Linked DNA regions of Lytechinus pictus. The protein of the gene in region 2 interacts with the protein of the main gene of each other region in a pairwise test. Links are inferred from orthologs where the notes say so. Each region holds a gene or a part of one and is shown on either strand. Other genes may lie near its edges.

Region 1 (7,506 bases), on a different chromosome or scaffold from region 2:
GTTCATAGCGCACACAGCTTTTTAAGGAATTACTTCCTACCGGTACCCATTTACCTCACCTGGATTGAGTGCAGCACATTATGGATCAGTTTCTTGCCGAAGGAAATTACGCCATAGCTGGGATTCGAACCCACGACCCTCTAATCAATAAAATAATTTCATATTTGAAATGAAGCCATACAAGTATGAGGGGTGGTGATTCATCATCTTAGTTTGACCAATGTTATCTAAAAAAGTGTACACGACAGTCCACCACTGGAAATTTTTGTCAGAGGAAATATTGCACTAAAAAGAAGACGAAACCAGCGAGTTGCATTAAAAGTCTCACACTTTCACCCAATACATTTTTTGCATCAATTTTTTTGAAAATCGCTGAAACAATGATTCTTCACAATCACATGTCTTATTATTGAAATGAAAGAATATCATGAAGGCCGGCAATTCAGCTGATATTAACAAGTCCTGACCTGACCTACATGGACCTAACAAGTTATAAATTATATTAATGCGTTTAATTATACAATTAAACAGGAGAGAGAGACTCAGAGAGAGAGAGAGAAGATTGAACTTGAACTTAGGTCAGGAATTAGGTCACTTAATGACTTAGGTGGCGTTGCAAGAAAATATTTGCAATCAATCACAGATATTCAGAGATGCCAAGTTCAAAAAAATGTTATGCGTGAGATTTTCATGACTCGGCGTCTCTGCACGCGCGCGGCCAGTACTTACACTTGTACGTTTCGAAAAGGCGCGCGCGAGATATGGGCTTCATCATGATATTGATCCATACTACAAAACCACGCGATGCACGCACACGATTCCTCGTATCACGTACTAGCTGTGCGCTGACTGCACTCTCGATTCGTCTCGCGTGTCGGGGTAGACGCGACGGCGTGCGAAGGCGGTCGGCCAGTGCGCATAATCTAACGAATAATGCTACTTTTTCTCTTTTTTTTCTGTCGGGTCCCGATGCGTGAGAAAAATGGGCGCCATGCGTGAGATCGTGAGACGGACCCTGGATGCGTGAGTCTCACGCACAATGCGTGAGACTTGGTAGTAGGGTGGACAAAATAAAATCCTAGAATTTTTATTTGAACGTCTTTACATTTAAATAAACAATGAATAGAAAGAGAAAACCAAACCAAAACAAACATACCAACTCCCAGTTCCAAAGGTTTCCTAAAAGTGAAGATATTATTATTAAGTGTCAAACTATGGCCTTTGTCAGGAAACGATAAGCCGCTTAATCCCTGTAACTCTCCCGTAGCTAATTGTCGCTGATTGTGGTCGTTGATCATTTTTAAACGTCGAAAGTTCAAGGATCGTGCGTGACCTTTTGCTCATTATTATTCGAATTCAAATTTGCCGCTCGAGCCCAGTCAAATGCTAGGCCACGCCCACCCATGGGCTCATATCATCTCGCGTGCGAAGGAATATCATTCATAATAACGCGACACACACGACACATCAATATACTACTGGGCTTTCGCTCACATAAAACATCACACATAATTAGGGATTTCACATTCTGCTATGACACTTACCCAATCATTTAGATCTTTCCGTGACTTCTCCTTGAAGTTTCTTCTAAAAAATATGTATATTTTCTTGATCTTTAGTGAAGATTTCACGGAGATAAAATTTGGTCAGCGCCGATATCAATTTTCGTCTAAAGAGGGCGCGCGATTTATATTCATATCAAAGACACGACAAGGGAAAGACTAGGCACCTACACTATTTTACACGCAAATTGACGCAGGTCATTACGCAAAGTCCGTGAAGTGTCCAATCTTTTCATTGTAAAGACTTTGGTATACCGTATTATTGATGTTCGTTAAAGCCTGTACTGCTGGTTTTGTTCCAGGCACGTATATTTTTTTCAATCTTTCTTTATTAGTCATCGTTTTAAATTAATTGCAGAAAAGTGTTATCATCGCCAATAATAATCTTGAATTATGTTTTTGACATGTTTGAAGGTATTTCATTTATTGGTGCCCATAATTAGTAAATTAATCATAAGAATTGCGCATTCAAAGGATTTAGACACAGTTATAAAATTACAGAGGAGCTGAATCAAGGTTGTGAAATTTATTAGCGCCACCAACGGGCCTCCTTGTATTTCCGTAGAAGAGACAAGCGAAGTTACTTTCCAGGCCGAGGTAAGCGAAATTTGCTCTTTTTGACCGATTATTATATTCAAATTACATTTTTTATTTTTTAATGTATTGCTACTTACCGGAAAGAGCCCCGGTGAGTAGCGAGAAGGAGTTTCGGCAAATATTACTTCAGCAATGAAGCGATGTTTGCCGACTACTTCGAAATCAAGGGTCAAACACGGTTCGGTGTACGAGGTTAGTATATAGGCTATATATACTAACCTCGTACTAGTGTGAGTGGGCCACGCCCACCTCGTAGCCAGTGTTAGTTTGCGCACAAGGCGTCAGATGTATTTATTATGAAAAATAAATTAAAAAACTTCATATAAATATAAATCTACAATTTTTTGTACAAATTTAAAATTAGACGTAGCTCTGCCTCTGGATATTCAGTTGCAATTTTACACTTAGTTGATCTCTTTTAACTTTATTTAGTAACATACAACTTGTATAGAGTATAGATCTATTTGTAGGCCTATGCCCTATCGTAGAACCTATGAAGGAAGCGGATAGCAAGAGTAGACTAACATCGAATTCGAACTTAATACAATCAACTTGTTATGTTAGATCTATCACAACAAACACGCATAACATACAATGGGACTAAACACACATTTTTGTATATAAATGCAGCAACGCAATCATCTTGAAAAATAGGTATTATACTATCATTTGAATGAAAATTCGTATTCAAATCATCTATTCAATAGCGACAAACATTTACCAACTCACCATATTACAATTATGATTTGAACAGCAAAATTACAGGAGAAAATCGTAATTTCAGAAAATTTATACTGTTTACGGAAACCGGTATCCGATCTGGAGATGAGAGTTCGGATCCGGATATCGATCTCGTATATTTCCAAGCGAGATTATGACGTCGAGCAGAAGGGGAAAGTGAGTGGATGGGGGTATATGGGTACGAGATTCAGGCCTGCCTAACGTCGTCAATGTTATCATTCATTTTTACACTGATCATGTTAAAGTTCAATGAACCGTTTGTAAATAATATTTTACGAAAGCTTATTTGTAAGTGTATCTGGATTGAAAATGAATAAAGAAAAAAACATATATTTTTTCAAGATAACCCATCAGCACCCGGCCCCTATTGGAAGCGGTAAATTTTCCAAGTTTTTGTATTTACATGTATATGTCACAACAAAAATGATCTAACTTTATAAAGAAATTTTGAGCAAACTTGAAATATCTCGTTTCCTGAGGAAACCATGAAACTTCTCACAACTCCCGCGCGGTTGAAGTGGCTCCCGGGGCGTTGGGCAGTACACCCAAAGAAGAAGAAAAACTCTAGCTGGCAGAGGCGGATCAACGGTTTAACCCCCCCCCCCTGGGGCTGCCAAGTAAAAAAAAAATAACGACCTACATTTTGGAGCCAACCCAGGATTACCTTCAATTTACCGTGACCCCCCCCCCCTTTTGGCTTATAAAACAAATATCGGTACCAAAATGACCTTCATTTTGTAAAGGGACCGCGGGGACAATTGTAACAAAATTTACTAAATTCAATTCAATTCATTTATTTTCTCTTTCAGTCTTTTTACATTTACACTGATAGTTCAATATACATATTTACAAAATATAACATCTAAATCATTTTTTATAATACAATAATACCATGAAATCGAAAGGGAAGGAGACCAATTAAAAAGCAGAGCTTGTAGGGTGAAGGCCTCCTTTACATTTTATGAATAAAAGATAAGATAAAATAAAGAAATAAACAAAACATATGTATTTATATATATATATATATATATATAGTGAGATTTCAGTTTCGTAACAATAAAAAGATTTCGTAATAATAAGAGTTACGAAACTTAAATCATACTCTTTTATTATTACGTAACTTACGTCATTAATGATCTTTTACCCAAAAGCGCGTTATATATATATATATATATATATATATATATATATATATATATATATATATTATATATATATATATATATATACTCCCACACATACACCTTATTAAAGCTAAATGCCTGCTAAAAAACCTAAATAAAACGAAGATGCATATCTTGGCTTGACACCACGAATAGGTTTGGATTAAGTTAAACAATTAAAGGGGAATCCAACCTTTGCCATAAAATATTGTGTTGGGAAGGAGAAAAATAAATTAAACAGGATGGTGAAAGTTTGAAAGAAATCGGACAAGCAATAAGAAAGTTATAGCTGCTTTAAAATTGAGATCACTAATAGTATGTAGATTTCAAATTGGCAACTGGGTAAGTAAATTATGACAAGGGGCAAGGACAACTTTTCCATAGGCCATGTACTTTATTATCAGGGATTTGTGGTTTTCTCCTAAGTACCCATTCCCCTGGGGCAGTAATCTAAATATAACCCAGGTAGTATTTTGTTTAATGTCCTCATGAAAGAAAAATATAATTTGAAATAAAACTTTGGGGAAAAATGACATTTTAGCCATAATATGTATTGGAGCACATGGAAGAGTAGTCCTTGCCTTACATCACTATGACATCCCATATGCGGCCAATTTGAAGTCGCCATGAGTATAGTGATTACCAATATCTACAACTTTTAAAAATTCATAACTTTCTTGTTGTTTGTCCAATACCGTTCAAACTTTCACTTATCAACTTGTCTGATTTTTCTTTTTCTCATAAAAACAAGTTTTTATTTGGGTTGGATTCCCCTTTAATTTAGAAGCTACTATCATTTGAAAATAAGAGGTCAAGTGTTACAATTGCCCCACAACATGGGGTTATTGTAACATGCCTGTGGGACAATTGTAACACATACAATTGCAGCATTGTTTTTTCTTCATCAAAGCTTATGCACTTGACTGGTGCAAGGATTTTAATACTTCATTTAACATTTAACAAGACTAGCCCCACATGACAATGCTTGACTCATTTGCATTACATTTTCCACTTGCTATTATTTATGAGGAACGTTTTGACTGTTTTTAAGGTTGTTGTGGCTTCACCCTAACTGTAGAACTATACACCAATTTCTATTTGGGTTCTGTATCTATACTTTAAACATGTTAAATAATTGATATGTACCTACTCTCTTTAAATTGACGACTGCAGTAAAACACTTAACAGTGTGCTTTTAACTCATGAATTCTCCTCCGAATACAGTGATATTACTTTTTAAAGATTGGGAAATGAAAGCTTTGTCTAATAAAAAAAATGCCACTTTTCGGACAAATTCAACATTTCCTTACTTTGTTAACAAACTTATCAAATCCCGAATTAATGTTTTATTAAGATATCCTTTGGACGAAAGACATGTTCCCTCTTTCAATTTATTCCCTTTAATTTACCTTCTCTGTATATCCATGCCTAACTTAATGGATATTAGGCATTTGTATTACTTGTTTGTTTAGGCCTAGGCCTACTGATTTTTTACTCTGTACACATTCATGTAGTTCAGCCTTTCGCTGTGAATTCATTTCGTGAATAAAAATATTGGATAGATTTTAATGTTCAAAATTAGTATTTCTCCTGTTTCAGCTTTGCGACAAAGCTGTACTCTGTGCTGTGTTTTTTATTTCCAATCCGCCTATACTCGGATTTACAATTTTGACATTAATTTTTGAAGAACTTATACAGTCTCCTTGAATAACAGTATGAACTATTTTATTCTCAATCAGGTCCGAGAGGTTCGAGGTGCCTTTATATTTTCTACTAAGCTCAGTTTCAAGATCCTTTAGATAAAGAAAGAAGAGGAGAGACGACAAATTATCACCTGTATGGGGAATATTTCAGATATAAACCACTTGGATACTTTCGAAACATCAGAAAGAATTTTACCATTAATGTCATTACTAGTCAATAAAAACACCAAAAAGTTTCTTATTTAGGAATCTTGTATAAATATCAACAATGCATTTTAAACAGAATATATGGTCAATGGTTGAGTATTTGTGCATGAATCCTGCTTGATTCTCCCCTAAGATACCAACGTCAATATATTTTGTTAATCTCTCATTTAGAAGTAAAGTAAACAGTTTGCCAATGCAGCTAAGGATCGAGACCCCTCGATAATTTTCCAGTATTTTTAACAGGACCATTATTTTTTAAAGATAGGAGTTATAACACCAATACCCCAAACATCAGGAACTTTACCACTATTGATTACAATGTTGAATAACCTAGTAAGGATTGGAATAATAACCGCCGAAGTATCTGTTAAGAACTCATTTATAGTTCCATCTATTATAATCTTTGATCCTTTTCATTTTTTAGAGTAAATTCATCATTGATGGCCGGATTATCAAAATGTTGGATTGTAGGAGAGGGGAAGTTATCGTAAGATTGATTTAAATCCTCAAAGTGGTCAACTATAGATCAGCAAAATTAGCCTCTATCTTTATATTTTTATTTACACTATTGCTTTGGAGAATTTTCCAAAAATCCCTCGGTTTAGTAGGTCTCAAAGTTCGTATAGTTTGTTATTGAGATACTTATAATTTTATACCTTTTCCCACATTGAATCATGTTTTGCCTATTGTAGTCAGTCTGTTTTTTTTAAAGGATTTTTGTTTACATTTCGATACCTGTTTCTCAATCTATAGCAGCTGTGGTTGTACCATGGTTTCATAAAAACTGCTTTGTTTTTCTGGGCTTATTATTAGTAGATGGGTATAGCATTTCGTAATTTTGGCTGAATCTAATTATTAATAGAAATCATTGCTTCATTAATGGCTGTCTCATCCACCAGAGTTATATGGGAAGTAAGATTTTGTTTAATAAGGGTGGCTGCTTCTAGATTAATATCATCATGGACCTACTACTACTTGAGCTTGAACGCCATATTCGCGGGAAGGAATATTTCATCCCTGCATATATTCCTGTCTTCTACTCTGTTTTGCGAGTTAAAGAAATTTAATTTGGCTAAAGTTTTTGCAATCAGATCTGATGTGACCAAGCTGGGAATTTCATACCACTTCTGTTCTCAATTTTTATAAAAGGTTTTATCTTCCGCGTTTCGCGCGGTAAGAGGAATTATTTCAAATTCCTCAATCTTTTCCCATTTTGGGGAGCTCATATTTCTTTCGAAAACAAGTTTTTATAATCACAGCAAGTCAATTGAGTTCGAGTTGATAAGGGTATAGACGCAAGAAATATCTGTCTTTTGATTTAAATGTGATGAGATATCAAAAAGTCATCCCTTCCCCCTAGGGAGCGTGCTGTCTAATTGTTGGCACGCTTTGCGTGCCGTTACCGCCCCTCAAAAATTACGCATACATTCGTAATTCCGAAGCTTCGTTATTCCGAAGGTTCGGATATTCCGAAGGTTCCTTATTCCGAAGGTTCGTAATTCCGAAGGTACATTAGTCCGAAAACAAAATGAG
Region 2 (7,387 bases):
AGTGGTCAAGATGGATTTGACGCCGGTCAGCTTGTCCATGAGTAGATAGCCGGTGGTCAAGCCGGCGGGCGTGGTGGCGGTGGTGTGCTGGTTTGACGAGAGTAAGGAGATATGTTGGTGGTCCTCGGTCTCCGGAGAAACGGGAAGCATGTCATCGAGGCCTTCGGGATCGTAGTTGCTGTCCAAATCATCTGAAAGATTCATAGAGGAAGACAATAAATATACACTGAAGTATTGACCCTAAATGACCTTTGACCTTGGTCATGTGACATGAAACTCAGGCAGGATGTTCAGTAATACTTGATTAACCTTATGGCCAAGTTTCATGAACTAGGTCCATATACTTTCTAAGTTATGATGTCATTTCAAAAACTTAGCCTTCGGTTAAGATTTGGTGTTGACGCCGCCGCCGCCGTCGGAAAAGCGGCGCCTATAGTCTCACTCTGCTTTGCAGGTGAGACAAAAATTAGCTAATGCATTGAAATTCTACTGTTACAGATTCATGCCCCCATTGGCTATCCATAGTTAAAGCGCAACTTGAAACCAGAGTTTAAATTAAACCGGACATCAGAATACGGGCCATAGAATAAATCAAATTTCTTCCCACCTTCTTGCTTAATCTCCTTCATCATGGGCGAATTGGGTTCACTCATCATAGAGTAGCTATGCTCGTCGGTGATGTGGGGCGGCGACGGATCAATGGATTCTCCCGACACCATCTTGTCGGAGGAGAGCAGCGGGTCATCGTCAAACAGGTAATCATACTCGTAGTAGCTGGAGGAAGATAAGCCATCAAGGTGGTCGGTCATCGGCTGTAGGTCAAAGGTCAAGAAGAGATTTTACGGTTAGATTTTCAACAGCAAGGAATACGATGTTTAAAAAAAATCTTGGATCTTGTCATAATGTTATGATGTTGTCAAATCATAATGTTGAGTAGCAATACTTATTACTAGTATTTGGATAGAAGAATAATTGCAAACATTAAACACAAATAAATACTTTTAGAATTATGTATATTGACATGCATTACTTAAATAAAACTCATTAAATAGAATACAACAAATTGCTTTAATTCCTACAATGCCTATTAGCACAGACAGTATCTCTCGATCCTTTTGTCTTGATCCATCCGACAAAAACCCCACTCAAACACTTTCATCAAAGCAAATACTTAGTCTTTCCAAATCATCCTCACAATCTAAACCATGTCTTTTCGTTCACCTTCATTCATATAAACACTGCAACATGTGATCTATTAAACAAATGAGGTCAATTTGCGATCATATGATCACAAGAAATGTCCTTCCGTTATCATTCATGAAGACATGACCTTCAATGAGCTGTGTGACTTTCAGAGCTCAGTGATACTAAGCACACTCGCATGTGTATATAAAAGAATTGTGATACGTCAGTGATGACAAATAGAAAACACAGTCCCAATTTCATATTATTCAGACTATACATTAATGCATGGTACTTTACGAGCAATGTTCAATGATGGTGGTGGAAGTGTTTTTGTTTTCCTTCAATTTTCAATGTACATTGTTATCATGCCAATATTTTTACAATATTTATCTGGTTATGGAATTTTCATTCATTTATGACCATCAGGTTGAAATGAAAAGGGGGAGGGTTTTACTATGTGATAATAAGTACAAGTTCAAATACAAGTTACAACCCATCAAAACATGCCAATAGCATTTATCACTTTAGAAAGGTTGTGACCGTGTTGTTAAACTACTAGTATGCCCCCCCCCCACCTAAAATAGTCAAAAGTACAAAGTCAGATCCCAAGTTCAAATCCAAAACAATGACAAAAGAAAATTATCAATGATCTTATCAGATACTGTCAACAAGAACATGGTCTTTAAAAACCAATAGTAACTGATACAGCGTAGTTCTATCAAATTAATCTCACAATGCGATGTTACAAATTATACACTGGGAATGGAATGCTGTTTTGTGTGATAAGAGAAAGGCAATGGAACGGAGTACATTGTCATGTCCAAAGGTCAGATCCTTGATCATTCAAAATAATTCAAAGAATTACGATCAAGTTTCAAACCAGAGAGAATGGGTGGTTTGCTGATAATCAGACCAAGGTATTAGTCTAACTATTCCCTGATAAATCTAGGTTGCACCCCAACAATATAGACCTACATGTAACTTGTAGAGAATGCTCATGTCAATTTTACTTTTTCAATTTTCAGGACAACCAAAATTCAAGGACATTCATTATCAAATAAACACAGTTCTTGTATAGTGCACAACGCATATACCACATTATGATATAACGTCCCTATGAATTTACACGTACAGAGGACTTGGATATCATATATTTATATCATACATGTTTTTTTTCCTTCAAATTTCAAGTCAAAAATATATTTTGAACTAGGATTAAATTGATTCATAAAATGCAGGGAATGTGACAGCTTCATAAATGTAAATGCTAATATTTTCACCATGTTTGCAGTGGTTCAGAATCTACATCCTGTCTGAAACTAAATAATAAATGACTACGGTAAAAGTCCAAATCCAATCACCTGTTATAAATTCAAGGATCATTCAATATAGCAAACCAGATGGAAGGGAAAGGTGATCACGATGTATTGATCATGGTACATAGTACAATATAAACCTCTTTGAAGGGCATAGTAATATTTTCATTATAGTATCATTCATTGCATGGGCAAGAGAAGGGGGCAGAGCTGCCAAGTTGTATTTTGCATTTTCAGTATTCTTATCCCCCAAAATCAGTATTTTGACAAAAAAAATCAGTATTTTTACCGTGTGAGATAAATATTTTCCCCAAAAAAGTGTATTTCATAATAAAATGCTTGGCACACTCGCCCATCACGGCGCTCAAGCTGCATGCAAGCTTAAATGCGCACTGCTCTTGCAGATGAAAAAAAAAAACATTGAAACTTGTGTATAACTCACCCTGGTTTTTACAAAATGATTGAAAAAAAAAAACAAGTTACCTGAAATTACATTGATCTAATAACCATATTTGTGTACGTTTTATGAAATAGAGACATATAGAGATGATTTTTCTCAATAAATGACAATTTTTGTAAAAAAAAAAAAAAAAATTTGGTTGAAAAATCGTACTAAATACGGCCAAAAACGTACTGGTTGGCAGGTCTGAGGGGGGAGCAAGTGAGGATCATGCTAGAAAAGGGTTTGAGGAGTGGCAGGAATGAGAATAAATGGGGGGGGGAGGGAGAAAGGGGGGATAGCGATTGAAGAAAGTAGGCTGCAGGCAAAGACCCTGATCGAAAATTTGATCAAGTGGGTCTTCACACAAGACTAGCATATATAGAACTTGCTGTTTCAATTCCTGAGCAAGAGGGCCTTCTGTACATACATGAAGTCATTATAGGCTGCATATTCAGACCACTTGACTTGAGTGAAAGGTTTGCACAGCAGACTAGGGAGGGAAAAGAGGGGGAGGGGAGGGAAGAGGGGAGGGAAGAGGGGGGGAAGAGGGGAGGGAAGAGGGGGGGGGGGGGAGGGAAAAGAGGGGGGAGGAGGGAAAACTGGGTAAGGAGAGAAAATGGAGGTGAGGGAAGGGGAGCGAGGGGGGAAAGGTAGGAAGGGGAGACATGGGGACGAAAGGTGATCACCACTGTGGCGACTTACTGGAGTAACCAAGCTTTGCGGCTGTTGTTTATTTATAAAACAACTGGGTTCTCTCATAAGAGAAAGGGAAATAAGATAAAAATAGAGGTAAGAAGTTAATGTACTGTCAGGGGGGAAATGGGAGGTATTTGCAGGTAACATAAAACTATATTTAAATACTACCTACTAATTATCACACTCTAAAAATTAGTATGAGGAAATAACACTGATGACTTTCAGGAAGCAAAACTATGAAATGCAGCAGATTCTACCAACTTGAAAATAATAAAATAACTGTTTTATTTTTATCCATGATGTATGAATCGCAGACTGAAGTACTGTAGCCTACAAAAGTGAATTAAATGGGGAAAACATGGAATAGCCGATATATTTGGGAAAGTAATTCAATCATTCCAAACATATTGTTTATAAAAAGAACATATGTGAATACAATCAATAGACATAGAATGCCCCTCAAACATTGGGGCCATCATTGTATTGTAATGAGAAAATCAACACATGATAACTGATAAGGTCTGTATTTATAAAAATAACTCAATTGTCTACAAATAGGCAGGCCAATAATACATATTGTAGGTGCAGTGTAATCTGATTGTACAACAGCATGTTTTGTAGAGAATTTCTCTGAAAAACATTTTGTCATCAAACATGTATGTTTAACTGTAATCCGAAAGTCCTGTAAAAGGCAATGGGAAAATATTCCAACTCACTTTTTAGGTAGGCTACCATGCTAACTACATGTAGGCCCACAATGAATTTGGGTTGTTCATTAGTTCTTTGTGGGAGAAATATACTTCAAAATATCATTTAAAGGGCAGTGAATTCCACCCACTAAGTACGGCAGATCATCAAAACCTTTTACATTGAAAAAGGATTTTAAAGGCTAATCCACATTGACACATCAAGCAAAACAAGGAGACACGTTGATCTTTGCCCATGCAACTCTTGCTCCCATGATAAAGATGCATCCATGCACCCCAATGGCACAGGAAGCGTCTAATTCTGTCCCGTAGACATCGTCTAACCAATCCCTTTGTGACATCACAGGAAATTATTGACGGTGCTCCCTCGCTTGCCCTCGCTCGGTATAGCCCACTCCCAAAGTCAACTCGATTCGAATGAGCTGTATCTAGTCTGTGTATGTTGCTGTACACTTTAGTGCTAATCACCAAGTATGCGAAAATTGGCCCTTTTAGTATCTGTCCCTTTAAGTTGAATACAATGTACTGTATACTGTACAATTAATTTCAATGTTTATTTGTTGAATAAACCATTTACTTGTTTGTTATTCATGAATAAAGATGCAATTATATGCATTGCCCACTTGTACGTAAATCAATACTCAGTGTTATCCATTTACAAATACCAAAACAAACTGATATCAAATAAATAAAACATGAAATGAAGTGTATTCAAATTGCAATTCTTTCATTGAAAACAGGATGCAATGTCCAAAGTTAGATTCATAACATATCCTGTGTATTCATTACAGAACAATATTTCACTTTAGGTAAATGTTTATGTTTAGCAGTACTTGGAATCATTTTTCTTCATGAGAAACACATGTAGTGAAAAAAAAATCACCGCTTAAAAATGCAGGAAAATGTTGAGCTTTTTATTGAAAACTTTTTTCATATCAAGGGCAAATTTATCATTAATTATTATGGATGAAACAGAGTTAATGTGTACTAAAGGACCCAATTAAAGAATAAAAGGCTGAATTGCTGATGCTATCCTGGACAAAAATAAGGAACTGGTTTATTCAAGGTTCAAGTCAATTCCTGCTTGAACATGTATTACCTGTATAGGTCAACAACCCACCCCCCCCCCAAAAAAAAAATACATGTAGAAGAGGAATCACGTCCATAAAGTAAATATATATATACCGTAAGGCTTTGATGGTGGACTTTGTTACTATCATTTTTTTTTTCAAAGTCAACCTTTGAAGATAATAAAGGATAACCTTTCAATTTGATGAACAAGATATAATTGTTTTTTGACGGAGCTCTTGAACTGAAGCCACTTAGATCTCAAGAACAACAAGGAAGGAAACCATTGTAAATGATTTGATCAAATAGTTTTAGGTATTATTTTGATAAGGGGTTATTAAATGTATGAATCTATATTTACATGATTGTGTATAAGTGCTAAGATTTGATTTAAAAAATGGATTTTATGTTTCTCTCCTTCTGGAGGTTGGTCAACAATCAAACTCTGTTTTTTCTAGAATAAACAACAATTTTGATCACTGCTTTTGGAATGCTCTAATTTCATCTTCGTTATAAATGTTGTACCATATTCACTGAAAATCATTTCAATATTACAGTATAAAGTGCATGTTTTATTCTTTCTTTTTGCTGAAAAGTTACAAAATTTTCAAACATCCTTTTTTTCTTTTGGCAGTCCATACTCTGTACTTTTATACATGTAGTGAGTTGGAATAGACACTTCACAGTGTGGTCAAGAAATCAACGCCAGGCTAACTTCATCACTGCCACGAGAATAACTCTATATCTTATTAAAATCAAATGGAGCTACTTTCTCATATATTCAATTTTTCATTCATCCACTGACAACATAATCGCATCAAACTGAAAATAATATAGTTCTGCCAATATTTTTTGTCATCGAAATCTACCGGAATGTGTAAAAAAAAATGGCAAGCACTTCAGAACCATACGATGCCAGGTGCAAGCGAATGATATATTGACATTTCTGTCGGCATTCATGATTGCAATTATACTTGTCAAATAATCAATCAACTTGAAAAACACTTTCATAGATGAACAAGTTGCACACTAACTGTTAAAGTTGTTGTCAATCCATAATTTTGAAAGACACTTCACAAAGAAAAAAAATTTGTGAAAACTGTCTATTTCTACTAACTTATCGTAGTTGGTACATGTACATGTAGTAGTATGTAGTTTTAATACTAGTGGGTGTTTCATAAAGCTGTTCGTAAGTTTAGAGCGACTTTAAGAACGACTGGTGATCCTTTCTTGTGGTAATTATGGTGTACACCAAAATGTTAATTGGCGATGGCTTAGCGCGTAAGAAAGGTTCACCAGTCATCGTTAAAGTCACTCTTAACTTCCGAACAGCTTTATGAAACACCCACCAGGTAATGCAAATGCTCGTTTCAGATATTGCAGTCATAGGGTCATGGATCCCGGGGTAGAGATCCAGGAATATTTCATGATTTCATGAATAATTATCTCCTTGTTTATCAATTTCCTAATCAGATACATGTTTTATATTCATTCATACTCCTCGTTCGGGAAATCTGTTGATACAATTATGCAGTACTCAGGTGACAGAACCATATGGTCATATTCCCAGCAGAAGTTCAACAACAAATGAATAAATCTCAATTCTAGTCTTGGTTCAACAATTTCTGGTGTTTGCAGGGAAGGCTCGCTTGTCAAAAACCCGACAAATGTTGCTCATGTCAAAAGAAACTTTCGCAAATATATAAATTACACCTATTTCTAAAAAATACACATATCTTCATAGCAAATCATATACATGTACATGTGGGCCTTCACATAGTACATAAGAAATCTCAATGGGCAAGACAAGAAATTGACACTAATTATTCATTTTACAATTTCGTATCAATCTCGATCTTCCAAATATGGATGTAAGCTTTAGAAACCAAGGTGCGAGGAGGCATTTCAAAATACATGTGTCAATTGACCACTGAAGATGATGTAATACTAATAACAGTTCAGCAAAGGCAGGC

What was found.
Region 1: the proteins of cyclic AMP-responsive element-binding protein 3-like protein 2 (region 2) and transmembrane protein 218-like interact in binary tests that used the Homo sapiens proteins (3 or more experiments, as listed by UniProt). The link is inferred for Lytechinus pictus from reciprocal best matches to the Homo sapiens genes CREB3L1 and TMEM218.

What each region holds. Positions count from the first base shown.
Region 1 is NC_087252.1:19,357,446-19,364,951, forward strand, and holds the start of transmembrane protein 218-like, read right to left. Parts: upstream 3,008-7,506; 5' UTR 2,889-3,007; intron 1-2,888. UniProt on the Homo sapiens protein: May be involved in ciliary biogenesis or function.
Region 2 is NC_087263.1:5,804,490-5,811,876, forward strand, and holds the start of cyclic AMP-responsive element-binding protein 3-like protein 2, read right to left. Parts: upstream 3,022-7,387; 5' UTR 810-3,021; coding exon 608-809; intron 192-607; coding exon 1-191.